7 linked regions of the Daphnia pulex genome follow. The protein of the gene in region 1 binds, or shares a complex with, the protein of each later gene. Links are inferred from orthologs where the notes say so. Each region holds a gene or a part of one and is shown in the gene's direction. Other genes may lie near its edges.

The links.
Region 2: serine/arginine repetitive matrix protein 1-like (region 1) and spliceosome-associated protein CWC27 homolog share a complex: the UniProt entries of both Homo sapiens proteins name them as parts of the minor spliceosome. The link is inferred for Daphnia pulex from reciprocal best matches to the Homo sapiens genes SRRM1 and CWC27.
Region 3: serine/arginine repetitive matrix protein 1-like (region 1) and RING-type E3 ubiquitin-protein ligase PPIL2-like share a complex: the UniProt entries of both Homo sapiens proteins name them as parts of the minor spliceosome. The link is inferred for Daphnia pulex from reciprocal best matches to the Homo sapiens genes SRRM1 and PPIL2.
Region 4: serine/arginine repetitive matrix protein 1-like (region 1) and cysteine-rich PDZ-binding protein-like share a complex: the UniProt entries of both Homo sapiens proteins name them as parts of the minor spliceosome. The link is inferred for Daphnia pulex from reciprocal best matches to the Homo sapiens genes SRRM1 and CRIPT.
Region 5: serine/arginine repetitive matrix protein 1-like (region 1) and pre-mRNA-splicing factor CWC22 homolog share a complex: the UniProt entries of both Homo sapiens proteins name them as parts of the minor spliceosome. The link is inferred for Daphnia pulex from reciprocal best matches to the Homo sapiens genes SRRM1 and CWC22.
Region 6: serine/arginine repetitive matrix protein 1-like (region 1) and crooked neck-like protein 1 share a complex: the UniProt entries of both Homo sapiens proteins name them as parts of the minor spliceosome. The link is inferred for Daphnia pulex from reciprocal best matches to the Homo sapiens genes SRRM1 and CRNKL1.
Region 7: serine/arginine repetitive matrix protein 1-like (region 1) and G-patch domain and KOW motifs-containing protein-like share a complex: the UniProt entries of both Homo sapiens proteins name them as parts of the minor spliceosome. The link is inferred for Daphnia pulex from reciprocal best matches to the Homo sapiens genes SRRM1 and GPKOW.

The regions. Positions count from the first base shown.
Region 1 is NC_060027.1:2,460,148-2,464,283, forward strand, and holds the start of serine/arginine repetitive matrix protein 1-like, read left to right. Parts: upstream 1-1,336; 5' UTR 1,337-1,485; coding exon 1,486-1,509; intron 1,510-1,668; coding exon 1,669-1,758; intron 1,759-1,843; coding exon 1,844-1,972; intron 1,973-2,285; exon of another isoform or gene 2,286-3,103; intron 3,104-3,304; coding exon 3,305-3,475; intron 3,476-3,546; coding exon 3,547-4,136. Other genes in the region: SH3 domain-containing protein Dlish-like, read right to left, coding at 72-120. UniProt on the Homo sapiens protein: Part of pre- and post-splicing multiprotein mRNP complexes. As a component of the minor spliceosome, involved in the splicing of U12-type introns in pre-mRNAs. Involved in numerous pre-mRNA processing events.
Region 2 is NC_060020.1:8,996,305-9,000,348, forward strand, and holds spliceosome-associated protein CWC27 homolog, read left to right. Parts: upstream 1-1,244; 5' UTR 1,245-1,639; coding exon 1,640-1,681; intron 1,682-1,742; coding exon 1,743-1,908; intron 1,909-1,977; coding exon 1,978-2,021; intron 2,022-2,095; coding exon 2,096-2,132; intron 2,133-2,193; coding exon 2,194-2,327; intron 2,328-2,406; coding exon 2,407-2,436; intron 2,437-2,505; coding exon 2,506-2,642; intron 2,643-2,705; coding exon 2,706-2,864; intron 2,865-2,953; coding exon 2,954-3,085; intron 3,086-3,152; coding exon 3,153-3,340; intron 3,341-3,416; coding exon 3,417-3,537; intron 3,538-3,600; coding exon 3,601-3,763; 3' UTR 3,764-3,808; downstream 3,809-4,044. UniProt on the Homo sapiens protein: As part of the spliceosome, plays a role in pre-mRNA splicing. Probable inactive PPIase with no peptidyl-prolyl cis-trans isomerase activity. As a component of the minor spliceosome, involved in the splicing of U12-type introns in pre-mRNAs.
Region 3 is NC_060022.1:781,819-785,789, forward strand, and holds RING-type E3 ubiquitin-protein ligase PPIL2-like, read left to right. Parts: upstream 1-1,171; 5' UTR 1,172-1,353; coding exon 1,354-1,385; intron 1,386-1,461; coding exon 1,462-1,681; intron 1,682-1,769; coding exon 1,770-2,079; intron 2,080-2,156; coding exon 2,157-2,302; intron 2,303-2,397; coding exon 2,398-2,521; intron 2,522-2,597; coding exon 2,598-2,746; intron 2,747-2,808; coding exon 2,809-2,960; intron 2,961-3,023; coding exon 3,024-3,213; intron 3,214-3,273; coding exon 3,274-3,416; intron 3,417-3,482; coding exon 3,483-3,579; 3' UTR 3,580-3,650; downstream 3,651-3,971. Other genes in the region: somatomedin-B and thrombospondin type-1 domain-containing protein-like, read left to right, coding at 1-8, 138-214, 315-529; eIF-2-alpha kinase activator GCN1-like, read left to right, coding at 3,814-3,828, 3,913-3,971. UniProt on the Homo sapiens protein: Has a ubiquitin-protein ligase activity acting as an E3 ubiquitin protein ligase or as an ubiquitin-ubiquitin ligase promoting elongation of ubiquitin chains on substrates.
Region 4 is NC_060021.1:4,590,447-4,592,723, forward strand, and holds cysteine-rich PDZ-binding protein-like, read left to right. Parts: upstream 1-1,180; 5' UTR 1,181-1,300; coding exon 1,301-1,514; intron 1,515-1,588; coding exon 1,589-1,677; 3' UTR 1,678-1,777; downstream 1,778-2,277. UniProt on the Homo sapiens protein: As a component of the minor spliceosome, involved in the splicing of U12-type introns in pre-mRNAs. Involved in the cytoskeletal anchoring of DLG4 in excitatory synapses.
Region 5 is NC_060018.1:7,249,251-7,253,513, forward strand, and holds the start of pre-mRNA-splicing factor CWC22 homolog, read left to right. Parts: upstream 1-1,463; 5' UTR 1,464-1,592; exon of another isoform or gene 1,593-1,657; coding exon 1,658-1,815; intron 1,816-1,882; coding exon 1,883-2,387; intron 2,388-2,454; coding exon 2,455-2,583; intron 2,584-2,651; coding exon 2,652-2,997; intron 2,998-3,205; coding exon 3,206-3,645; intron 3,646-3,707; coding exon 3,708-3,988; intron 3,989-4,067; coding exon 4,068-4,169; intron 4,170-4,254; coding exon 4,255-4,263. Other genes in the region: ubiquitin carboxyl-terminal hydrolase 24-like, read right to left, coding at 1-35, 100-238, 306-542. UniProt on the Homo sapiens protein: Required for pre-mRNA splicing as component of the spliceosome. As a component of the minor spliceosome, involved in the splicing of U12-type introns in pre-mRNAs. Promotes exon-junction complex (EJC) assembly.
Region 6 is NC_060026.1:11,199,262-11,203,341, reverse strand, and holds the start of crooked neck-like protein 1, read left to right. Parts: upstream 1-1,280; 5' UTR 1,281-1,371; coding exon 1,372-1,422; exon of another isoform or gene 1,423-1,425; intron 1,426-1,481; coding exon 1,482-1,571; intron 1,572-1,633; coding exon 1,634-1,852; intron 1,853-1,914; coding exon 1,915-2,135; intron 2,136-2,199; coding exon 2,200-2,648; intron 2,649-2,708; coding exon 2,709-3,016; intron 3,017-3,108; coding exon 3,109-3,333; intron 3,334-3,396; coding exon 3,397-3,593; intron 3,594-3,663; coding exon 3,664-3,850; intron 3,851-3,926; coding exon 3,927-4,080. Other genes in the region: probable maleylacetoacetate isomerase 2, read left to right, coding at 92-172, 272-476, 573-675, 740-866. UniProt on the Homo sapiens protein: Involved in pre-mRNA splicing process. As a component of the minor spliceosome, involved in the splicing of U12-type introns in pre-mRNAs.
Region 7 is NC_060019.1:137,331-141,379, reverse strand, and holds G-patch domain and KOW motifs-containing protein-like, read left to right. Parts: upstream 1-1,342; 5' UTR 1,343-1,439; coding exon 1,440-1,594; intron 1,595-1,658; coding exon 1,659-1,944; intron 1,945-2,003; coding exon 2,004-2,110; intron 2,111-2,180; coding exon 2,181-2,364; intron 2,365-2,422; coding exon 2,423-2,555; intron 2,556-2,620; coding exon 2,621-2,728; intron 2,729-2,907; coding exon 2,908-3,077; intron 3,078-3,141; coding exon 3,142-3,297; intron 3,298-3,359; coding exon 3,360-3,491; 3' UTR 3,492-3,549; downstream 3,550-4,049. UniProt on the Homo sapiens protein: RNA-binding protein involved in pre-mRNA splicing. As a component of the minor spliceosome, involved in the splicing of U12-type introns in pre-mRNAs.

The DNA.
Region 1 (4,136 bases):
ATCTAGTCCGTCTGCTGAACACTTTTTTTTCAACCTGGTATACGTCTGGAAAAATTGGACAAGTTTGTTACCTTTTTTCTTCTTGCCTCGGCGTATCCTCACTGGACACAAGAAAGCCATGACTCAGGTGTGCACCAGACACTCAACACACACTAACACACGCACTATTAACTCGAAATCGATTGGTAAAATGCACTTGATTAGTTTAATTTGTTTGACACAATTAGCAGGGCAATGTCGATTGTTGTATGTTCAGTCGTCAGGTGAGAATGAGAATTGACACAGCAGCAGAAAGAGTCAGCCTGGAAGAAGGCCTGGTTTCTGCTTCTGTTCCATGGCCTCCGCCAATACCCACTGGCACTGCACACCTTGAAAAACAGTCTCTGCTGGTAGATGGGAAGAAGAAGAAGAAGAAGAAGAAGCAACAACTTTACCTCCCAATCCCCCCTCTAACCAATTCCATCCAACCAGGTTTTCTCAAATACAGTTTGTTGCCTTTATGCTCCAGGGGCTCTTTTTCTTACCTTCTTCTTCTTCTTCTTCCTTCATTCACATTCTTTCCCTCTATATGCACCTTTATTATTATATACCTTTGGGCTCTTCTTCTTCTTCTTTCGCTGCTGCTGCTGCTGCTGCTAATTTATTTCTTCCCTTTTCTTGAGGATTGGAGTTTTTTTTGTTTGGGAAGGAAGAGACGCTTTTTACCTGTGCACACCGCCGCGTCTTATAGCCTAGCGGTCACGTAAAAGGTGCGCGCATGCCAGCTCAAGCTAAAAGGGATGTAGTCAGTCAACCAACAAGAAAGCCTTTTATTTTCTTAATTCATTTTTTTTTCTTCTTTTCAACCATTTCTGTCTGTGGTTGATTTATACTTTTTGATGGTTATCTTATTACACTTAAAAAAAAAAAGCCTTTGGGGACAAAGTTGCACCGGTCGTACAGTTATTTTATAAAGGCAAAGAGAGTTCAAGGAGCTCAAGTCTACTTAATAAGCAGTGACCGTTTGCTACCTACTCGCAGGATCAAATGACAAAACAGGTTCCTTGCAATTTTGGCTTCAACTGAAAAAACGACATTTTTCTTATAGTCAAATTAACCGGTTGGACGCGCCATGATTTCGGGATACATTATTTCGCGTCGATAAATTGAGAGGAAACCTTAGATTGGCATTTTCCCGTTATTCGTCCAATTGATTTTGTCATCGAAGAAAATTAGTTATGCGTAGCGTAACCCATATTTGATATGTTTTGTCCTTTTTTTCTTTCAGAAGCGCTGGCAGGAGCTGGCGCTATGCATATGCAGCAGTCGATTTATTTTTCTAAACTGGCAATGCTGTTTCCATTTTCCTGACTGAAGGGACAAGAGGGAAGGCGATCAATTGAGTTAGGGGTCCTCCATTTAAGACTTGAGTTTAGCCCGGCTTTATTCTCCCATTTATTTTTACTTTTATAGAATTACCTCGATTTGAGGTATTTTTCTTTCACAATGACTGATGCCGGTTTCTTCAGAGTAAGTGTTAATAATTACCCAAGTTAGAACTATTATTCCCTTGAATTGTTTGCAGCATCTCGACACGCCAACTCGGTCGTAAAATTCTTGCTTCATCAGTTGTGAAATCTGTTTTGTTAACTGATGGGATGCATTGTAATATTTGAATTCTTTCAACAGGGCACCTCAACTGAGCAAGACAATAGATTTAGTGACAAAGAGAAGAAGCTTTTGAAGACTATCAAATTTGCTGAAAATGTGACTAGAAAGGTAAATTATTGATCACCTGTGCAACTTTAACAACATCAATATGAGTTACATGTTAATATTCATTAATGCATGTTAAAAAATTCAGGTGGATATGAGCAAAGTTAAGTTGGAAACCATCAAACCATGGATCACAACCAAAATTACAGAACTTATGGGAGGAATTGAAGATGACGTCCTGGTGGAATATGTTTTTAATCAGCTCGAAGCTGACAAGGTAATATCCTTTTAATCTCAGCCGTGTAGATTTATCTTATGGGAAACATTTGCCACCAAAGCTTTTCACCAATCATTCTGCTGTTTATCTTATGCAATTTTTTTAATATCAGGCTGAAATAGCCATCACATACTAAGAATGATTGAACGTCAGCTCCTTTGCATCTGGTTCTTGTTTGTAATTTGGTTTAATGTGAAAGATAAGTTATGATTTAAGTTTTCACCACCCAGATGGCTTTGATTATATTTTGTCTGTGCTCATGCTCATCTCAATATCTTGTACACTTTTGGGTCCTGTGTTATGAAGACTTAATGTGGAATTGCATCAAAGCCTTGTTGTCACCATGTCACACACACCACCTTGACATGATGGATGCAAGGATTCTTTCTCGACCGAGACCTGGTCGCATTATTTCGAGGTCTTCTCTTCGAATTGATTCACCTTTCGGCCTGTTCCGTGGACGATTCCTCTTATCGTCGGCCACGATGTCTATGGATTTGGATTTCCAACGTTTCGCAGTCGACCGATGAAGGATTCACTCCTGCGAAATGATGGAATACGGCACGTTCTAAACCATCGAGTCATGAGAGGCAATTCTGGGATCGCCTTTCGCCCAGCCAATGCAACGCCTTCTCCCCCAGTTGATAGTTAACCGCACAGTCGACAACAGGGAAAACTCCTGTGTGGTTAAGTCGGGCTCTGATCGCAGTAGGCCTACTCAGGAATCCGTGTTGAGAAGCTGAGAAGAAGAGATCCTTTCGTCTCGGCCCAAAAAGCAGGACGGTACAGTCGACAGAGATAAGACTCCTGTGCCGTTCGCTAACGTGGTCGAAGCTGCTAGATTTGCCTGATAGATGACGACAGACCATCCCATCTTTAAAAATCACCTGATCGATCGCATCGTGGTGCCGGGGTAGCCATCAGGAGTAGGACTAGTCAGATGACGACCCAATAGCTGGGCGGTACAGTCGACAGGACAACTCCTGTGCCGCTCGCTTCGTGGTCGTCTCTTTGATACCGAGTCGCCGGTGTTTTTATGACGGATGGGAAACTCGGTTCTCCCTCAACGCCCAGATTGGAAAAAAAGAAATAAGAGATTTTTTTCTGTTGTCACTCTGGTCGAGCTCTCAGGCAAGAATAACAAACCAAAACAAACTACGTAAAACAGCTTATCCTTTTAAAGAGCAAACCCCTGAAAGGTATTGCTCGCTTAATCCGCCGAGATCATACCGAAACCTAATCTATTTGTGTCCGTTTACTTAAGTATCTCTTTTCCATTTCGGTTGTTTGATTTTTCTGTTATTTGTCTTTTTTTTTTCTTAAAACCTATAGAACCCTGACCCTCGTCGCATGCAAATCAATTTAACTGGATTCCTCAACGGCAAGAATGCCAGGATTCTGATGACTGAATTGTGGGATCTTCTACTATCTGCCCAAGAATCGTCTGCTGGAATTCCGGAGGTCTTTATGGCACAGAAGAAGGAAGAAATCAAATTAAGAAAGGTATGCAACCATCGGAAATAATTCGCGGTATTAGTTTTGTTTCTATCATTTTCGTCTTTATTGGTTTGCAGGAAGAACAAGATCGAATCCAGGAAGCAATCAAAAAGGCCGACCGGGATCGGCGCGCTGACCGAGAAAAGGAACGCAACGACCGTACTGACAAACGAGCTTCCAAAGATAGAAGCCGTAGCCCCAACAAGGACAGGGTGATCAAGAAGGAAGGAGACAATCCCCGCTCTTCACCTCGTCGTGACGGCCGACGTCCTTCATTGGAGCGTCGTTCTCCTAATCGAGGCAAGGCGTCGCCACCGCCTCGTCGTCGCTCACCTGCCAGATCGCCAGCAAGGCGCTCGCCTCGTCGATCTCCACGTCGATCACCTGTTCGTCGCTCCCCAGCTCGCCGTTCTCCTGCACGCAGATCTCCCGCTCGTCGCTCGCCAGCTAGACGATCACCCGTTCGCCGCTCTCCCGCTAGGAGATCTCCAGTTCGAAGGTCCCCAGCCCGCAGATCTCCTGTTCGTCGGTCACCGGTCCGCAGGTCGCCCGTTCGAAGATCTCCCAGGCGTTCACCTGTTCGTAATCATTCTCCTCGGCGTCCTTCACCACGCCGTTCGCCCGTGAGGAAGTCACCCGTTCGACACCGGTCGGCGGAACGTCGTCG
Region 2 (4,044 bases), on another chromosome or scaffold:
TTTCATTTGTTCTGCTCTCTCCTCACTTTCTCCTAGGTTCCGCAATTTCCAATGGTTTACCGAAGAAATCCAGGTCACGTCGCTATTAAACTAACGTTATACGCTGCATGGCTGTTTACGAAGATTCATCAACCATGGAGAAGCAGCCACGCAAACTATGCGCCCTAATACTTTCTATTCACAACCGTTTACACATCAATTACGCTTAAACACTAACAATACCATTCAGATGTATTTAAAATTATGCAAATTCCTCTGAAACTCCCCATTTGTATGCGCGGTTGTCTCAGATATATTTGTTTAAGGTTTACAATGATTGTTACGGAAAAACCCCAAAATAGGTGAAAAAGTCTAAAATTTGTCAGCCTGCCATACGTTCAGTGTGTCATGTCGCGTCATCGTCCGATAGGCGTTTCATCCGGCTTCATCCTCATCACGTTCACACGGTACTTGCGTTTCCTCTTGCTATTCGATTTTGTTGCGGTTGTTGTTCTGAAGCCTCCGTAAAGTTGCTTGCTAATTACATGCTAATAATAAGTATCGCAGCAGCAGATTCGTTTACCAAATTGGGAGAAAATAGAATTTGGAGAAAGCAGGCCATACTTTTATTGTTTGGTACATTGTGGTCATAGCTTCATCCATGACTTGGTTTGTCCTATTCCTTAGTCAATTAATAACCTTCAGCTAAAATACACAACTTTCCAAAAAAGAAACTGAATTTTCGTCTTTGCCTACTAAAAGTAGGTCGGGTTATTAAAAAAAAAAATTCCAGATTTCATAAAAGAAAATTTGTCAGGTTGATCGCGGTAAAGTTTAAGTTTTTAAATCTAATGTTTAAAATATATTTATTGTAATAAAAATACTCTTAGCACAGTAGAAAACAAGATACAAAGGCTTTCCTCACACTTTAGATTTTTCAGTTTCTATACCTAAAACAAAACGCAATTGAGATATTATAGCGGTAGGAATAGGAAGATGAGGAAAAAGGGTTTCTAGATCAAATTAAGGGTATGGAGCTATCCAGCAGATTTTTAATTTTTTACAGAAATGCAGATTTCAGTTTTGGGACATCACAGTTGAAATCCTGATCCCAAATTTTAAGAGAAAAATAATTAAAATGAATTTATTAACTAATTATTTCATGAGTGATAAAGAAATAGTTGGGAGAGATTTTTTGAAATTCCAAATCAGTAAATCACGAGCTTAGTTCTATGTGTGTCCTATAAGGAAATCTATTTTTACTAAATCCATACGATACAACGATAGTTATCGAATAAGACTGAAGATAAGTGAATTTTTCCGTCAGAAACTCAGAATTCAAGAGCGATAAATGTATGAGTATGGCCAGCATAGTATCAGGCAACTCTTATTTACAGTGCGTTGCAATCGTCTGCCACCAGTAGCGCTGTGAGTCGAAAGGATAAAATGGTTTGTTTGTTTAAAAAAAAACCAAACACAGTTCGCTCGAACTAGCAGCCAACAACTCCGAACTAGACATAGAACTGACATAGATGCTAGATTGCTACTACTACTAGCTTTGTCGAGCTACACATTACCTCTGCACATTATACACATCAAAACACGGAATTTTAATTAGTTTCATTTTGATTTTCTTCCTTTTTCTCCTCGATTTACAACAATGAGTAACATATACGTTCAAGAACCACCAACAAATGGAAAAGTTTGTATTCTTTTCATGTATCATTGATTGAACTACGTGCTAAAACGTAACTTTTGTTTAGGTTGTTGTGACTACTTCTCTAGGAGAAATTGAAATAGAACTGTGGAGCAAAGAATGTCCAAAGGCTTGCAGAAATTTTGTTCAACTATGCCTTGAAGGATTTTTCAATGGAACAATTTTTCACCGAGTGGTACCAAATTTTATTGCTCAAGGAGGAGATCCTTCTGGTAAAACTTAATAATGTGATCTGTTGTTATTTATATTTGATTGAAACAATTACCACCCCTTTTTCTTAGGGACTGGCCATGGTGGTGAAAGTATTTATGGGGAACCATTCAAGGTTACATAGTATTCATTTGAATAGAATTCATTATTTCAGTCTTTATTAACCTTTTACAATCTTTTGGTATTCAGAACGAAGTTCATTCACGTCTACGATTTGTCAGAAGAGGTAAAGCAAACATCTTCTGTGTTTTTATTACATAATGTACCATTTCAAACATCTTTTTAAGGATTGGTTGCAACGGCTAACACTGGAAACAATGACAATGAATCACAGTTTTTTTTTACCTTGGGTTCTTGTCCGGAACTGCAAAATAAGCACACAATTTTTGGTAGGGTTGCTGGGAATACTTTGTTCAACATGGTAACTGACAATTTGTTAATTACGCTGGGAACAAATTATTCAAGAAATTCTAATGTACAATTTTTTCTCTTTCTCATAGATCAAATTTAATGACTTGGATATTGATAGTGTAAGTATATTTAAATTTTGAAACTCAAATAATAAAATAATAAAATCAATAAAATCATAAACGCTATAGGAAGATAGACCTCGTCATCCACCTAAAATTTTTAAAACAGAAGTTATTTCTAATCCATTCCCTGACATTGAACCAAGGATTAGCCAAGAAAATATCAAGAAACCAGAGGAAATAAAATCTAAAATAAATAAAAAAAAGTATTAAGTCCAGCTATGTAATATTGTTATAACTGCTATAAGAGCTTGTGTTTGATTCTGTAGGAATCTTCAGCTGCTTTCCTTTGGGGACGAAGAAGAAGATGAAACAGATGTTCATCAGCCAACTAAGTCTTTTCGTGGGAAATCTTCTCATGAACTGACTAACGACCCTAAACTTAGCATTGTTCCTGCAGTCAACGTAGAAACGGGGTTAACAAATAAGTACGTTTAATAGAACAAGCCGTCAGATCATTTTCAAAGACTGTGTATGGTCTACATTCATATGTAAAATTTCCATGTCATATTTTCAGCGACAAACCGACAAAAATTGAACGGCAATTTGAAAAGGTTGTGCCTCAAACTGATTTGCAACCAGAAGTATCACCTGAAAGTGTAGATGTTGACATTTCGAACCAAAAGAAATCTGAAGCAAACAACAAACTGTAAGAAACAAACAAGTCATAACAATTACTTGATAGTTATGCTCATAAGTAAATGCTTTACTTTTAGAAAGCAAATCAAAGAACAGATAAGAGACTTGAAAAGGGAAATGAAAAACCCAAGTGAAACTCCTCAAGATCAAGAATTATCTAAGAAAAGAAAAATTAGCGACAGTGAAGAAGATAATGAAATACTTAAAGATTTTCATGAGCAGCAGAAGAAGTATGCGGACATAAAAACAACACGGCGAGGAAAGGGTAAATAGATCAATTGTTTAAAATATTTGTTACCTCATCATATCATCAACAAGTTTTAATATTCTATTTGGAATAGGCACGGACCGAGAAGCTGAAACCCTTAATTTCCTTAAAAAATTTCAGAGTAAGCTTAGCCAAACTCGGACAACGAAAGGAGGCGTTGATGATATTGATGACGTAAACGATGATGATGCATGGTGAGAAATAATTTTTTATCCCTATAAATTTGAAAATTGCAGAATTTCTTTATTTCTTTCTAGGTTGAATCACACGTTGAAATTCGAAGACAAAAATCCTTCGTTAGCCCGAGATGCTAATACAAAAAGTGATGATTGGTTTGAAATCTACGATCCCCGTAACCCCTTAAACAAACGAAGAAGAGAGGAATCAAAGAAGATCATGAAAGAGAGGAAATTCAACTAAAAACTAAAAATGATCTCCAGTTTTGAAATGCACATATAAAACTCACCTTTGTTTGTTAATCTCACCAATTTCTCTTTGATTCAACGAGCTTGAAAATCAGAAACAAATGTCACTTAGGCTTGCTGGAACATAAACTTGTGTGTCAATTGTAGCCAAAGTAGTCTGCACGCGTAAAGGAATTGTTATGTAAAGGAAAATTCTCCAAAATTTTTCGTGGGATCAATATAAACGGGATTGGTCACGAACGGTCACGAAATAACCGGGGATAAAAGCAGCGTGCC
Region 3 (3,971 bases), on another chromosome or scaffold:
ACCAACGAGTGAGGATACATACCTATAAACAATCAAGCCACAAAATTTAAGAAATTTTCGACACCAATGATTGCTCTTCAATTGGACGTTGAAAATTGGCGCATACATGTTGCAATAACACTTCCGTCTTTATTCAGTTACTGCGTGACATTCGAGCTGACCAAAGTGTCCAAGGCCTGCCACAAAGAGAAAGTGTTCAACTCTCTTACTGACGGTAATTGACTTCCGGAATAATAATATCCGGATGGAAATATCATTTTTCAAAAATTGTGTTTTGATACATTTATTTTATTTTATTCCTTTTCGTGGTTTAGGCGGCGTCGTCTGTGTTCGATGTGAACACAAGGCTACTCGTGACTATTTGGGAGGCCGTTGCGGTGGTCACGGAGTGCCGGGTAGAATTACACGCTGGACATCGCTGACCAACGTCGAGTGCCATGGCAAATGGCTCAGACGTCCGGATGAATCTCACGAGGTTTCCAGCTCGACTTGTTCGTGCGACGAGGACGCTCTGTTAATTTTCGTTTAGGTCTCAACACAAGAGACGCAAACTATAAGGAAACGAACAAGGAAGAAGATCAATTTTAAACAAAATCTCCTTAAATTTGTTATGCTACCACATTAATTATTTCTATTTTTTTTTCTTTGTCTTTCGAATCATTCTTTTTTTTTACCTAAAATATTCGATCTGAGGGTGGTTTAATTAAAAAAAACGCGAATGAAACGAGCGAAAGCTAGAACAAAAAAATTAACTGTCGACCCACCCATCGAGTTTAATGCGAGTGTGAAAATACACAGAAAGGGAAATTTCCATAGAACCAATTTATTCACTTAATCTTTTGTTTGCTGTCAGCTGCCTAGTCTATAGTGGAGTCTAGCAATTATTATGCATTGTTGACTTTCATATCGCTTAGGCTTAGCCGTCTTCTTTGAATGGTTCCTCTTAATTATCTTATCTCGAATCATTTTGAGGCTTTTATGAAGGTCGATCCTGGCCCCCTAGTGGCTGAACGTCCAACGACCAATATTTCATCATTTAATTTGGCCAATGAAATTCTTGATGATGTGATCGTTGGATGTTATTTTTCGTACATAAAATTTTTTTTTAAATGGTAGAACAATTCAATAATCGTTATAAAAAGACAAAAAGTTTAAAAGTTTAAGTCGAGCGGTTGAAGCTTGAAGGGTAAGCAGACGACGTTCAAGACAGTGTGCCAAAACAACAAGTCGGTTTATTAGTCGTTTGGCGTTCTATTCCATAAACTGAAAAAAGTTTGCTCGATTTTAATTTGTGTATTTCACAGAGAACTTTGATACTGTTTTTCTTCATCAAAGCGTGAAAACTATCTGAAAATGGGAAAACGACAACACCAGAAAGATAAAATGCAAGTTCTAAGATATTTCAATTTGAATGATATGTTTAGTATGAAAACACTAACTAGTTTACTATCTTATATTTAGGTACTTGACAAGTACAGAGTGGAGCACATTGTATGGTGGGAAGAAGCCTGTTAATCCAAATAGTGCCAGTGCTTCATTTCGACGACTTCCATATGATCACTGTGCCTTGTCACTTCAGCTTTTTGAGAATCCTTTGTGTGACACTGAAGGAAATGTTTTCGACCTTCTTGCTATAGTTCCATACTTGAAAAAGTATAAAACTAATCCAGTAACAGGAAAAGTAAGTTTTGCTTATGGGTATTGCATGTTTGCTTCATCCGATAAACTTGAACTAGAAAGGCATGTTTATGAGAATTTAATTTTTCTAGCCATTGGAAAGCAAAGCCCTTCTGAGGTTAAATTATCATAAAAATGCTGAAGGGGCATACCATTGCCCTGTATTGTTCAAGCAGTTCACAGACAAATCCCACATTGTGGCCATCAGAACTACTGGAAATGTGTTCTCCTATGAGGCAGTAGAGCAACTCAATCTGAAGCCCAAAAACTGGAAAGAGTTGTTAACAGATGAAACATTTGCTCGTCAAGACATTATCACTCTTCAAGACCCATCTCACCTAGAAAAGTTTAACATCGCTAAATTTTATCATGTAACGCATGACCAAAAAATCGAAAATGAAGGTAATTTGTTGTCTTATTGATTATAGACTTAACAACGCCAATTGATTTGCTTTCATAAATATGATTCTCTCTACTAGAATTAATAAGGGCCAAAACCGATCCTGCAGCCCGTCTCAAATACATCAATGCAGAAACGAAGGGAGTTTTGGCAGAATTAGAACAGGAATACAAGGCACCTGAAGAGACTGTAACTGTAAAAGCAGTAGCTGATTCCATTAATGCGGTAATTTGATTCAGTTAAAGTTTTAAATTTATCCCTTTTATTTATTATTATTTTCGTTTTTATAACTTGTTTATAAAACAAAAAAAAACTATCAGGCTCATTATTCCACCGGGGCTGTCGCTGCTGGTTTTACTTCTACGGTGATGGCACCAGAAACTAAGCATGAACCAGCAATTCTCGATGAAAGTATCGTTCGATATCAGCGCATTAAGAAAAAAGGTTAAAGTAGTTTCTTGTAATGAATTCTTCACAAACCATCTAAATTTGTTTTTATTTCATCAATTTAATTTCTTAGGTTATGTTAGACTAGTTACAAATGTCGGGCCTCTTAATTTAGAGTTACATTGTGAAATGGTACCTAAAACGTGTGAAAATTTCGTCAACCTGTGCAAAAAAGGCTACTACAACAACACCAAGTTTCATCGGTCTATCAAGCATTTCATGGTACTGTAGATCTCAACGTGATCACGGGCTGTTACAGAGATTTCCTAACAAAAATTTTCCAGATTCAAGGTGGCGATCCCACTGGAACTGGTACCGGAGGAGAGTCTTGCTGGGGAGGATCATTTGAAGATGAATTTAAGCCGAATCTATCCCACACCGGTCGGGGTATTTTATCGATGGCGAACTCGGGAACCAACACTAATAAATCTCAGTTGTACGTTTAAATTATCTAGTTCTATGCATACATTACGCATCAATTTGATTATTACTCTTTCAGTTTTATCACCTATCGCTCGTGTAAACATCTGGACGGAAAGCACACAATATTCGGTCGTGTCGTGGGTGGAATGGAAACTTTGAGCGCTATGGAACGAATTGGTACTGACAATAAAGATCGACCCGTAGAAGAGATTATTATTGAGTCGTCACAGATATTTACAGACCCATATGCCGAAGTAGACGAAAAGGTTGCCGAGAAAATCAATTCAACCTTAGAAGCAAAATTTACTTTTGTTTTTACATTTTAGTTGGTGATTGAGAGAGCCGCAGCGCTAGAAGAAGCTGAGAGACAGTTGAAGGAAGCAAAGGCTTCCATCCCTAAAGCCCAGCTTAAGGTTTTCAAACAATCTGGTGTAGGAAAATACATCAACCCTAAAGCTTTCACCAACAAGTATATCTTTAATTTTCTATTAAATAAAATAGTTTCATTGCAGCTTATTATTATTTTTTTTTATAGACCAGCTGATTCGGCTGGAGAAGAATCCGGCAGTTCTCAACATAAAAAAGCTAAAACATCTGCTAACTATTCATTTGGTAATTTCAGTAATTGGTGACCTTCCCGGATATTGGATTATTCTTTGCTTACTTGTGGCTGATTTTTTAAAAATAAACTCTTTCTCGAACACTTGTTCTTATCAAATTGTATGTCATTTTTTTTACTCAATAATTCTGTAGCAATTAAAAATAAAAATCGAAAAAGGGGAAGGAAGGGTTCACAATTTTACTGACTTTTTTTTATATGCGACGGCAACGCAGCATTGTCCTCTCGTCTGCCAAAACGACACACGATGGATGACAAACCGGTAAGCAAACCACATTTATGATAAATAATAATTTGTTAAATTACGCGTTCAATAATCAATGTCTTTTGGTGATTTGTTTTCTAGTTAGCGAAAGCGCTGAAAGATTTACCCTTGAGGGTACAATCAGCCAGCTATCTCGAACG
Region 4 (2,277 bases), on another chromosome or scaffold:
GAAACTCTGATTTTTCTCGATTTTTTAAAATAGAAAAATAGAGGGAAGAGAATAGGGGAGAACAAAGGGGTCCGGCGGTTTTCCCTCTTCTATTCTTCCCCCGGGCTAGGATTTCGTCCCTGCGCCACCAAAATAAATCGGAATTGTTTTTTAAAAAATCGGGACAAATCAGAGTTTCATTAGAAAAATTTGAAACTTTGTCCAAATGTAGACGACTATGTCGTCTACCGTTGGTAAAAGTTTCAAGTAAAAATTTATTAATTTCAATTTTTTATGATTTTTTAACTAGCATACACTTTAGCTTGGAAACATATGGCGAGCGCGCCGATGTTTCCAAACTTTATGTCTAGCACTTTGGGGATAAAGTTCAATTTACTAAAATCTGAAAAAAATCATGGTGAAAGAAAATTCTTTCCTCACCAAGAAGATTTTTTAAAATTTGCTTTGCGATAACTCAAACGTGAGTTATCGCGAAAAAAGGGAGACACATTGGCCCGTAAGCCGCCGTGTTAGAAGCGCGGAAACACTCGCCGTGTTTCCAAACTTTGTGAGGGTACTGTATATAATATATTTCGTATCCACGGATATAGCTCCTCTGATTTGATCTATTACACCCCGAAGAGCCATCTCATGAAAATCATGGAAAATCAATTTTATAGCCCACGCACAAATAAAATTCCGTGACGGGCTACCGATGTGGTAGCCTTCAAGTCAACTCTCTTTATTTTTCTTTGATACCTATAATAATGTGCCATCATGTTTGTTTGCCCAGATTCAGGTTTCGGTTTTTTGCCCAGTTTTTTTTTTATGGGGGAATTGGAGACTGCGTTATTTTGACAAGATTAAAAGCGTTAATTTGTTTCAAAATTCGCGCAACCTAAACGGATACATCTCCTACATCTAGCGGTAAAGAATTAAACTCCACCGCAGGTTTTATTATAGCCGTTCTAATGTCGCAATAGTTTTTCCGTTCTAGTTTCGTTTCTAAAATATGGACGTTCTAGTGTCGGGTGGGCGTTCTAGTGACGACGACAGTGATAGTGCCACGACAGATGTCGTGGCAATAGACAGTTTCGACCGTATTGCCACGACATGATGTCGTGGCAATAGATTTAACCATCCCAGTCTTAGAAAAGGTTAAAGCCATCTCTGCTTGTCTATGTGAACTAACTGAAGTTTGCCTTATGATCGCTAGGTGGTAGTTTGCAAAAACAAAGCTTCGACTAGTCGACTCGAATCTAGCTTTGAAGTTTTTTTGTTGATTGACTAAACTAAAAACGCAGTTAAAGCCTGTAGAAAGATGGTGTGCGATAAATGTGAGAAAAAACTGGGTAAAGTTATAACTCCAGACCCATGGAAATCAGGAGCTCGAAATACCACAGAAGGTGGTGGTCGCAAGCTCAATGAAAACAAAGCTCTTACTTCTACAAAAAATCGTTTCAACCCATATACACCGAAATTTGAAGGCTGCAGAATATGTAAACAGAAAGTTCATCAAAATGGATCGTATTATTGTAAGTACCAAAGAATTTATAAGAAAAGAAGCTGAATTGAGTCTAACAAAATTACTGTAATTTGGAATTTACAGGTCAACCTTGTGCTTATAAAAAAGGAATCTGTTCGATGTGTGGAAAGAAAATTATTGACACAAAAAGCTACAAACAATCTTCCACTTGATAATCTGTTGTGTTATGTTGTGTTACAATCTTGTCTATGTCTCCTAATCTTTAAGTGAATGTGACATTGAATGGAATATATGAAATTAAGATGCTTGAAACTCTTTTCGTACTCTAGTGCTTTACTCATGTGAAGTTTGAGACCTTACAATCACTGTAATTATCTTGAGTGGTACTATATTAATTTTTGGTATTAAAATTTGTAAATTTTTCATACCTCAAGTATATGCAGAATATTACCAGTAAATTTTCTTTGTAAATTATCTTATGGCATGGCTAATGGATGGATATGTAAATTATACTCTGAACTCCATCCCTTATTTTGTCAGAGGTAATGCTTAAAAGGTTAAGGACCAAAGGTTAATCTCCTTTGAACAATTAAACTTAGACTGAGAATTGTTTTTTTTATGAGCTCAATAATCAATAAACACAGCGAATGATGTCGTTCTATGCAATTTAGCATTAGAATTAAACATGCTGTTTACATATATATACTAATTCCAGAAAATTTGCAGTACTTTTTACTTGTTGGCTAAGTCCATGCTAAGCAATAACAAACAAAAAATATTACTTGTAAGGCGTTATACGATATATTTCGAGA
Region 5 (4,263 bases), on another chromosome or scaffold:
AAACCTCTGCATGTTTTCATCATTCTCCCAAACACCTTAATTGGATTAAAAATTAATGTGTGTAATAGAAAAACACAAAATTCACAAGATATAACCCACCTTCTTCTATTAGTTTTGTCGCAGCTGCTAAGCATTTATGCAAACTTTCATCCTTTTTATAAGGAATAGACCATTGATCTGTAAATACTCTAGACTCTAATTCATACAGGTGGGTTTCAGGGAAGCCATCATTTCCACTCTAAGAGATAAAAATGTAAGTGTTGAAAAATGCTTTACATTGACATAATAGATGAAATAGGCTTTACTTCAGACACGGAAGCATCTTCGCTGGATCCTTTGGAAACACCAGCTACCTCTTTCATGTCAACATCGATGTTTAAGTCAGCAACAGGTCCATAAGATGACACTGACTGATCATTGGTGAGGATAGCAACTGCTTCATTTAGATCATTCTTGGCTAAACGTAAAGCTCGTTTGATTTCTCCGATGTCCGGAAATCCCATGGCCATTAACGTGCTGATATTTTCGTCTTCGACGTCCATGACGTCTTCTCTCCGGCGTTTTAAAATTTTTATTGTTTATCTGAAGAGGAAACAAATACAAAATTAGAACATATCACGATGCACGATGAGTGTATCCCAAGCACTCTGCGCATTTTTTTTTTTGTTTTTTTGTTATCTTACTACGATCACAAGAGGCACGAACTCCTTCGCGGAGCTTTTTGAAATTCTTCTATACACATAGGATAAACTGCATGGAGGAGTGGCAAACAAATGTTAGCGGTAGGCAGGCCCCTTGTCAAATGCGCCCTCCCTATTAAACCGTGGGCGCTGACATCTTTGACATGTTGCCAGCTCATTCATTCCTCTAAACAGTGGTTTCAGACGGATTCGACTTTTAGAAAAAATGCTTAATGATTTTTTACCACATAATTTCAATTGAAAGTATGAAATCTCTTTAACAAATCTTCGTGGCTGCCTGTTTTTATTGTTTCATAGCGGTTAGTAATACCTATTTTAAAACTAGGAACTCGCAGGACTAGCGAAAACATGCGAAAATATTTCAAAAATTGAAATAATTATTCTTTTAACGATCCTTTATAACTCTGATTTCACCAGTAACTATTTTAAAAATTCTACACGAAATACGAAGACCTGAGAAGGCTCAGCGCTTAACGCTGCCACAAAGCTGATAAACAATTTAAACAAGTTATCGAAAAAGTCCAAAAAGTATTTGATGGTTGCTCGCTGCTCGGGGCAGAATATTTATTCAATTATTCCTTTTCCAATAAATTTTAAACAAATTTTCATTAATGAGGAAGTGGTTGATTACAAGAAGATTCTTAATTCTTATTTTTTGTCACGTTTGTCTCTTTGCCTGCCTTTGCGATAAACCCGATAAGGCATAAGGCGACAAGCCGACAACCAATGAAATCGAACAAGCTGCCCAAACGCAGGTGGCGCATTAGTGGTAGAATTGTAAGCAAACGGCAATACCGCAATATGGCAATAGGCATTAAGCCAAGGAAGCAAACGTAAAAAAGCAGTTGTTTCTCAGCGTGTTGCGATTGCAATTTTCTATTCATCCAAACAGTATAACATCTGTTAAGTGATATTTTCAAATTAATTTCCCTTCATCTGTCACAATAATCCTTCAGATGGAAAGTGTCGTCAAAGCTGTTGGTTTACCCGTAAATTTCTTAGAAGAAGTCGACGATGATTTGGAAGATGAACGAGACGAAAAAGCTCCAGCAAAGCCCGATAGCAATATTCGGAAACGACGGTATAGTTCAGAGGAGGAATACAGAAGAGAAAGGTAGACAACTGTACCAAAAGTGTTACAAGTAACAAATTAATTTACTTCATATTCATTTTTTTATCAGGAAAAAAAACTATGAAATAGGCACACGCTATTGGGGAGATGAAGGCCCTAGAGATAACTACACACAACATTCAAGAGAACAAGATCAACATTCAAGAAAAAGAGAAAATCAATTGAAAAAGGATGACAGAAAAACTAGTGAACAAGGTCCTTTAAATGAAGAGGATACTAAAGAGCCTAAGAGAGTTAAAGAAATGGATCCAGTGCTGACACGAACCGGAGGAGCTTACATTCCTCCTGCCAAGTTAAGAATGATGCAAGCCCAAATAACTGACAAGTCAAGCTTAGCTTTTCAGCGTTTATCTTGGGAGGCTCTCAAAAAATCCATTCATGGATTAATCAATAAAGTCAATGTGTCAAATATCCCATTGATTATAACATCCTTGTTCAAAGAAAATATTGTTAGGGGACGTGGTCTTCTAACTAGGTCCATCATTCAGGCACAAGCTGCATCACCAACATTTACACATGTCTATGCAGCCCTTGCTGCATTAATCAATTCCAAAGTATAAACGTGATTTATATTAATTCATGTATTTAATTTAATTCACATCACATTTGTTGATGTTTCAGTTTCCTAACATAGGTGAACTGCTATTATCTCGCCTTATTCTTCAATTTCGCCGTGGGTTTCGTCGAAATGACAAACAAATATGTATGAGTTCGACAAGATTCATAGCACATCTGGTGAACCAACAAGTGGTAATATTGAAATTTTGCTCTCATGTTTTGTTTTTCAAATGCACTGAAAATTTTTCTTGGTATTTTAGGCACATGAGCTTTTGGCTCTAGAAATTTTAACTCTTCTGTTAGAAAATGCAACTGATGATTCAGTTGAAGTCGCGGTTGGATTTTTGAAAGAATGTGGTCAAAAGTTAGGTGAAGTCTCCCCTCGAGGATTAACTGCTGTCTTCGATCGCCTCCGTCATGTTTTACACGAAGCTGACTTAGACAAACGCGTGAAGTACATGATTGAAGTAATGTTTCAAGTACGAAAGGATGGCTTTAAGGACAACCCTGCTATCGTGGAAGATTTGGATTTGGTGGAAGAAGAAGATCAATTCACTCATTTGATGTCGATACAAGAAGAAGAATTGGATCCCCAGGATATGTTGAGTAATAAGTTGCTATTAATGGATTTAAAAAATATCTGTATTCCTCAATCTACCAAGTTAGTTTACTGGGCTTAAATTTTTATTTATTTTTAAAATAATCTTTGACTGTAATGAGCCCCAAGTTCCGTGCTTTTCTTAAACTGTTAATAGTAGATTTTATATGTCTATCTCCACTTTGATACCACTAACTGTTTCGCGTATTTTTGTAGATGTTTTCAAGCACGACCCGGATTATGAAGCCAACGAAGAAAAGTACCAAGCTGTCAAAACAGAAATTATTGGAGATAATTCGGGCGAATCAGACGGTTCTGGAGAAGAAAATGATGAATCTGATGGAGATAGTGCTTCGGAGGAGGAAGCAAAAGGTAAGAATAGCATATACTTTTACTTGGGTCGATTCAATTTGTATGTTTTTAATTTTGTTTTTTTAGAACAAGGCGATATTGTTGACGAGACGGAGACAAACCTTATTGCTCTTCGACGCGTTATTTACCTTACTATTCAGAGCAGTTTAGATCACAATGAATGTGCCCATAAAATGATGAAAATGCAAATGAAACCTGGACAAGAAACTGAGTTATGCCATATGATCTTGGATTGCTGCACCCAACAAAGGACGTATGAAAAATTTTTCGGCCTTTTAGCCCAGGTACGATTTCTTATTAAATAAAAAACTATTCAAGTATATCAATTTTCTTTTCGGTGTATTAGAGATTTTGCCAGATTAATAAGGCATACATACCACCATTCGAGCAAATATTTCATGATACATACGACACAATTCATCGGCTGGATACTAACAAGCTTCGCAATGTAGCCAAAATGTTTGCCCATTTACTTTTCACAGATGCCATCAGTTGGCAAGTGATGGCTAACATTCGACTAACTGAAGAAGATACTACAAGCTCTTCGAGAATATTTCTTAAAATTTTATTTCAAGAAATGGCAGAGTACATGGGTCTCAGCAAGCTAAATCTTCGCCTCAAAGACCCGTCAGTGCACCAACTATTTTTTAAACATCTTGTTTGGTTATACGTCACCAATTTAATTTTTTTAATATTTTCGTTTTAGGACTTTGCAACCGTATTTTGAAGGAGTTTTCCCTCGCGATGATCCTCGCAACACTCGATTTGCCATTAATTTCTTTACTTCCATCGGTCTAGGAGGGTTGACGTAAGTTTTTCTATCTCGTTGATAGATTCTTTAAGATTAATTAATAATTTTGTGTTGCGTTGGATGGGACGTTTCAATTATGTAGAGACGAACT
Region 6 (4,080 bases), on another chromosome or scaffold:
AAATTTTAAAATTATTAAATCATCACAATGTTCACAGTTAAACCCATATAAATAGCTAAAATACCGCTGGCATATTTTTCTATGTATTTAGAATGCTGATGACTATAAAATCATAAACCCCATGGCTCAAGTTCCATCACTAACAATTGGGGACAAAGTTTTCACTCAGTCGGTAAGAGGGACACTATATGAATATGACACTATAGATATATAAGACCTTCCAGTTCAAATTTCAATGCATAATTTTTACTTCCATCTCCTGTACATTTAGGTAGCTATTTTGGAATATTTAGAAGAATCTTATCCTTTAAAACCCTTATTGCCAAAAGATGGTGTGATTAGATTCAAAGTGAGAGAAATATGTGAAATTATTGGTTCTGGGATTCAACCCTTACAGAATTTGGCTGTACTTAAACAATTTGAAGAATCTAAACAGAAAGATTGGGCTGCTAAGTGGATTTTCAAAGGACTCACTGGTAGGTGAAGATCTTCATGAATATATCAATAAAAAAATTAATAAACTCTAAGAAATATGTGCAAAGTTTATATAAAAACCCAATTTTTTATTACAGCATTAGAAAAAATATTAGAAACTTCCAGTGGAAATTACTGTGTTGGAGATGATGTTACAATGGCTGATTGTTGCCTTATCCCACAACTGTACAATGCAAGGAGGTAAAGACTAAAGTTTCCATGATTCGTTTCATGTTCTCTTTTTCTCACGCTTCGTCTGAATAAGGTTTGATGTGGACGTGGCACAGTTTCCTAATATTGCTCGTGTGGAAAAGAATCTCGAAGTTCTTGAGCCTTTCGTAAAGGCTCACCCGAGCCGACAACCAGATTGCCCGCCTGAACTTTCAGCATGAAAATAAAACAAAAAAATTGATGTGAAATAGTCGGACTTCAGTCCATAGAATAACGATATTAAACGATGATTATAATTTGGTCGATGGGTTGCGAATACGGGAGAATGAATTGCAATGGAACTTGTTATGCTGTTTGATATTTACTGAAAAATAAACAAAATTTGCCATTATCACTTATCAGATATTTGCAATATTTATGTCTTGAAACTATAGAATAAATAGAGTGTATTCCAGTATTCCTGTAAAACTGAAACCTGAAAAGTGCTAAATCCGGTTAAAATCTTTCAAAAAACCTGTTGAAAGCTGGTAAACAATCAATCTGGCAACGTCCGATTCGTCGTCTGTTCGGTTCGTACGAGTCGCGCTCGCGCAACTGCAATCTGCAAGAAGCATCACTTGCTCGTGTCAGTTCAATACTACAGTACCAAGTGTCAGTCATAGACTCATATCTGTTAAAACCTTATTTTATTTTTTTTACAAGTGCTCATTTAAAAAGTAATCTAAAATGGATTCGGGTGGATTCGGTAAACCACAAAAACCTCCTAAAGTTGCCAAGGTTGTAATACTTAAATGTAAGAATGCTCTTGACATTACTTATAACACATTTCTCTTTAGGTTAAAAACAAAACACCGGCAGAAATTCAAATCACTGCTGAGCAGTTGCTTCGGGAAGCTAAGGAACGTGATCTTGAAATTGTTCCACCAGTAAGTGTTTCGGCAATAGATAACAACTTGAAGAACTGAAGTAAGAAATTTTCTATTTTTAGCCCCCTAAACAAAAAATTTCAGATCCCGATGAGTTAGCAGACTACCAGTACAAGAAACGCAAAACCTTTGAAGATGCTCTGCGGCGTAATCGTAATGTTATTACCAACTGGATCAAGTATGCTCAATGGGAAGAAAGCCAAAAAGAAATTCAAAGAGCCAGAAGTGTTTTTGAGCGTGCTCTTGATGTAGACCATCGTAACATTACCCTTTGGCTGAAGGTAATTAATTTTCATTTGTTAAATCTGTGAAATAATAAATATCTAATTTTAAAAAAATTTAGTATTCAGAAATGGAAATGAAAAATAAGCAAGTCAATCATGCCAGAAACTTGTGGGACCGTGCAGTTACAATTTTGCCTAGAGCAAATCAGTTTTGGTATAAATATACCTACATGGAGGAAATGCTGGCCAATATAGCTGGTTGTCGTCAAGTATTTGAAAGGTGGATGGAATGGCAGCCAGATGAACAAGCTTGGCAAACATACATCAATTTTGAATTAAGGTAAATAAATGTAGTAAATACTAACGTTACACTTATCAACGTCCAATTTTTGTCCAATAACTAGGTATAAAGAATTAGATCGTGCTCGCTCAATTTTTGAACGGTTTGTCTATGTGCACCCGGAAGTAAAAAATTGGATCAAGTATGCCAAGTTTGAAGAAAGGAACGGTTACATTATCGGTGCCCGCCAGGTGTATGAACGGTCGGTGGATTTTTATGGTGATGATCACATGGACGAAAGGCTTTTCATAGCCTTTTCCAAGTTTGAAGAGGGCCAAAAAGAACATGAACGAGCAACTGCTATTTACAAATTTGCTCTCGAACACATGTCAAAAGATAAAGCAGCAGAATTGTACAAAGCCTACACAATTCACCAGAAAAAATTTGGAGAGCGTGACGCTATAGAAGACGTTATTGTCAGTAAAAGAAAATTTCAGTATGAACAAGAAATTAAAGAAAATCCATCAAATTATGATGCATGGTTTGATTATTTACGCCTAATGGAAAGTGAAGGTATTTTGACTTACTATCAAATTTTTAAGGAATTGTGTCGAATGTGTATTGTATCTTTAGGTGACGCTGACGTTGAAGTAGTGCGAGATACATACGAAAGAGCTATTGCCAACATCCCGCTAGTAGCTGAGAAGTCCTTTTGGCGTCGTTACATCTATCTGTGGATTAACTATGCACTTTTCGAAGAACTGGAAGCCGAAGATTATGAAAAAACTCGACAGGTCTACGATTCATGTCTTAAGCTCATTCCGCATCGTAACTTCACATTCGCCAAAATGTGGCTCCTTTACGCCCATTTCGAAGTTCGACAGAAAAATCTGCAATTGGCGCGTAAAATTTTAGGTACTGCGATTGGTAAATGTCCAAAGGTAAATATGTTTCAGTATTTTTTCTTTCAAATATGAAATCTAATTAGAGGCCAGTCTATGAACCAGTTTTTAATAAATCTGGTTATTTATAGAACAAGTTGTTCCGTGGATATATTGATTTGGAGATCCAGCTGAGAGAATTTGACCGCTGCAGGACATTGTATGAAAAGTTCCTCCAAAACGGTCCAGAAAATTGCACCACTTGGATGAAATTCGCCGAACTAGAAACTTTACTGGGAGATGTGGATCGTGCTCGCGGCATTTACGAGCTTGCCATCAAGCAGCCTCTACTAGATATGCCAGAAATTCTTTGGAAGGTAAATTAAACTTTAAATATGTGCACAGATCTCATTCCTAATGGAGTTGTGTTTGTTCTTCAGGCTTACATCGATTTTGAAATCGAACAAGAGGAGAATGATAAAGCCCGATCGTTATATGAGAGACTTCTAGAACGCACGCAGCACGTAAAAGTCTGGATGAGTTTTGCTCAATTTGAGCTCACTCTAGCAGCATCTCAGCAGGAGGACCCAAGTTTGCCAGTCGCAGCAGCTAGAGCAGTCTTCCAGCGTGCAAACAAGTTCGCATTTCTTTGCTTTGAACTATTAGCCTCCGTAAATTACCTTCTTAATTCCCCATTATGTTACTAGGTCGCTACGTTCTATAGCTCAGTCAGTCGGTCTTGAAGTGGCTACCAACAAAGAGGAGCGATTGATGTTGTTGGAGGCTTGGCAAGAATTCGAATATGAATATGGAGATGAGGGATCTCGCAATGCGGTTGTTAACTTGATGCCTAGACGTGTGAAGAAGAGGAGGCGGATCCAAACACAAGATGGGGTATGTGATAATATTTTGCGTTTAGATGCAAAATTTTGTGCGTTGCAATGTTTTTTTCTTTTCTTTTTTTTTTTAGACCGATGCTGGTTGGGAAGAGTATTTCGACTACATTTTCCCCGAGGATGAAGCTACTAAACCCAATCTTAAGCTCTTGGCTATGGCCAAAGCTTGGAAAATGGCAAAAGAATCCGCTCCATCAAACCAGGAAGAGGAACTACCCAAAAGCAATG
Region 7 (4,049 bases), on another chromosome or scaffold:
AACAAGTCGAACGCAGTTCCTCGGTTTGGCGGACGACAGTCGATGACCTTGACCGTAAAAGACCTCTTTTTTTCACCGTTTTAAATCGAAGGGGGGTTAACAAACGTCAATGACCCTTTTAATTGAGAAAAGAAAGGGTAAATCGACGCCCTTCTTCTTTTTTTACTACCTGTTGTATACGGGGACTTTTTTTAACGCTTGGAGGTAACTTTTAAAACATTTAAATTGCCGGCCTTCTGAATTTGGTAAAAGATTTGAAATGTCGTCGTCGTAATGGAAAATTACAGACTAGAAAGATCGTCTCTTGGGGTTATTCTACTACTAATACAACCTCGAATGGTTGTCCTTTTATAGGGCCAGTGGCTACATGGAGACCTTGAACGAAATGAAATCAATCTTTTTTTAAAAATAAACTACTATTTGGGAAAACAGCCAATCTATTCCAAGTTAAGCAACAAATTGTCGAGTAACCTTAACCCTATTTTTCCTAGAAATGGGAGCAAGACACTTGGTACAAATAAATTTCAGGTCAGGATAAATGTGTTTTGTAATAACATACGGTTGGAATTATGTCACAGCACTGTGTTAGTAGTACCATAGAGGAAGGAGTGAATGACGAAATCAAACCCAACACTCTATGGCAGTACGTAGTTGTTTTGGAATGAACAAATATCGTCGATGCTCGTAAATGCGTAAATATTTTTGTTCTAGAGTTTTATTTTGTCGTCTGCTTGACTCGTCCGATGCAGACATCTAGCGAGTGTCTGGTAGATTACACCGAAGGTTACGATTGGTCAATTTCGGAACCAGCCTACAAAAAAATCAAGGCCCCGGTCGTTCGATTTTATTAAATAAATATACTTGATTGTGTCACATGATTATGTCACTTCAATGGTCTACGTGCATCAGTATCAATATATAGTGACCTCAATTCTTTGATGAAGCCTTACAACTTTGTCAATATGATGCGAGCATCTCCATTGCGTGACGCTACAGGCAGTTACAAAATGAGCCCATGATATCATCTTCTCATCTTCGTGCTCCATTTCCTTTTAATTACGTACTCGGTTACATTTTAATCAAAGTCAAGTAGGCACTAGAGGCAACCGCGGCTGTGGCCTGGCGGCATCAGCGTCAGGCAGGATGAAATCAAATCAGTTGCAGTTGCCTAGTAACATAATTGAATTTTTCCTTCAGACAATTTAATTAAAACGACGAAACATCGCCTTCGCCTAGCGAATTAATTAGATATTTTAATTACACGAAAATTATGCAGAAGCTACGCGTAGTTATAATACCACCGCAGAATGCACGGCAGTTGTCTGATTTGATTTTTCAATGTTCGTCTGCTTGCGTCTCCCCACCTTTTTTGTTGTTTCCATAAAGACATCTTCTGAGCGAAAAGGAAATCCTTGATATTAACGTATTCGTGTGTCATTATGTCGGAAACCAAGCCTGGTGTGTCTTTTGCCTTTAGTTCAAAAAAGAAACATGATAACGTGAAATTAACTCAGTCGAAACTATTGGATACGACTCAAGAAACTCGCGAAGAGACTGATTTCGTCAAAACTGTCGAGCACAACAAAATCAATGGGTATGTTGCTTTTCCCGCCACAAAATATTAATTTTACATTCATTTTCTGCATTATTCTATTTAGATCCATCAAAAAAGCACCCAAAAAGGAACTGGTTATTCCTCTTATAACAAAGAATCGGTGGAGGACCCCTGGCAGTGATACCAAAACCGAGAACACAGAAGCATCAGACTTGGACAAGCAAGCCGAAAAAGAAATCCTGCAAGAAACACTGAAGGCTGTTGATGGCTGGGAGAACAGAGGCAATGGCGTACCCTCCAACATTGATATCCCCCTATTTATGCAAAATCGTGTTCCATCTGGCTTTGAAACAGATGAAAAAGTAGATGTTTCCCTCCGTGCAGATCAGGTACTGAATTTCGCAACTGCACCTTAATTATGTAATTAACTCTTGACATTTCTCTCTAGTCCACACTTGATGATTATGAAGCGATCCCAGTGGAAGCCTATGGAATGGCCATGTTGAGAGGAATGGGTTGGAAAGCCTCAGAGGGTATCGGTCTCTCTAGAAAAGGGTATCATTGCCATATTTCACATTAATTAATGGTTCTGAATTCTCATCAAATTATCTTTTATTCAATCAAGAGTGGCTGCTCCCATGGAGGTGAAACTTAGGCCTAAAGGACTTGGTCTTGGGGCTGACCGTACTGTTTTAGAAAATGCAGCTAAAGCTTTAACAAAGCCAAAAGAAGGCGAAGAAGAGCTCAAAGTGATTATCGGTGCAAATGTACAGTTGCTCAGCGGGAAACATCAAGGTTTATATGGACAAGTAAGTAAAAATTCTATTAAAATCTGCCATTAAATTATAACTAAATTTGTTTCATCAGGTTCTTAGCATGGACGCAAACACTGGTCGTGCTCTGGTGCGGATGGCTGTCGGAAGCAACGAATTGGAAATGAGCGAGCTCTTTCTGAAACCAGTTTCTGCTAAAGAATATCGTGATTCCGCCAGGATTCTGAGTAAATTAAATCTATTTCAAGCCAAATTTCTTCTTGAAATTAATCATCTTTCTTTTAATTCTCAGACAAGGAAAAATACGACGAGTACAAAACGAAACAGGACAAGGAGCGAAACGAGAAGGAAAGAAATGATCGCGAGAGCAGAAAGAAACGGAAGCATAGTCCTAGCCATCGTAAGTAGTGATAGATTGTCCTGTCTAGCTCCTCCTACCCAAGGTCACGCTTTCCTACATTTATCATTGGCGTTCTCGTGCCAGCCGCCCAGCCCGTACCGTCAGAATTTCCCGTTGTTAATTAATCAGTTTGTAATGAAATTCCACTATAATAATTTTTTCCTTTTATTTTAAAAAAGGTAGTCGTCGGAGTGGCAGTCGGGAGCGCCGTGATGAGAAGAAAGAATCTCGTTCTAAAAATCGGTCGTCGAAAGGTTCTGACGAGAAACGAGAACCTTGGCTTCACCCACTCTTGCGAGTCCGCTGCGTCGATTCTTCATTCAAGGACGGCCAATTCTACAAACAGAAAGTAAATAAAAATGTCCTAAAAATAAAAGATGAATTTCTCTCACGCCGATTGGTATGAATTCCAGATGGTTGTGGTGGACGTGATTTCCAAGAATCATTGCATTTGCAAAGCCGAAAACGGGAAACTTTTGGAAAACGTCAACATTTCTAAATTGGAAACTGTCATTCCGCGTAGCGATCCCGCTTACGTCATGGTCGTCAAGGGCAAACGAAAAGGACAGGTTGTTAGCTGAAATTTACACACATGTTGTTTTTGTTAACTTGTTTATTTTTTAATAAAAAGGTCTGCCAAGTGATTGAAAGGGACAAGGAACGATACACGGCCACCGTCCAGATTCTACCGGATCGCGATGAAGTTTTCCAACTAGACTACGACGACATTTGCGAATACACGGGAGATGTGCGCAACTTGTAATCACAAAATAACTCGACTTGGTTTTTAAATAAAAACAAATGTGCTATTCGTGTTTAATTTCATAACGATTTTCACCCTTTTTGTCTTCATTGTTGCACCTCTCACATAATTTGCTACGTGACCCAGACAGCTGTGGCAATCTCTCATTATGCAAATGTTTGCCGAAAGCTCTCTCTCTTATCATTTTAATGATACGTTACGCTAATGCAAATTTTTCAAGTGGAAAAAGAGATGAGAAAGTACAAGGCGCGCCAGTCAGTCTGGCAAGAACTTTGTGTGTTTTCAATGGGATTTATTAAAGTATACACCGGCATCGTAAAAATACACGAGCTATAGGGGGAATACGGTAATGGTACACACCTTTCACGTGCGTGTTCCCCTTTATTTTTGCATCGATATTTTTCGGTACAGAGTACACTGAACCCACACAGCGTAGCTCAATCAATTCACGAGAAAAGCGTATAGGCTACCACCCTACGGGGGACAGTGGGGGGGCTTTTTTTCGCTCGGTCATTTCTCATGACTCCCGCCGAAGTCCGAACGAACGAACGAACGATG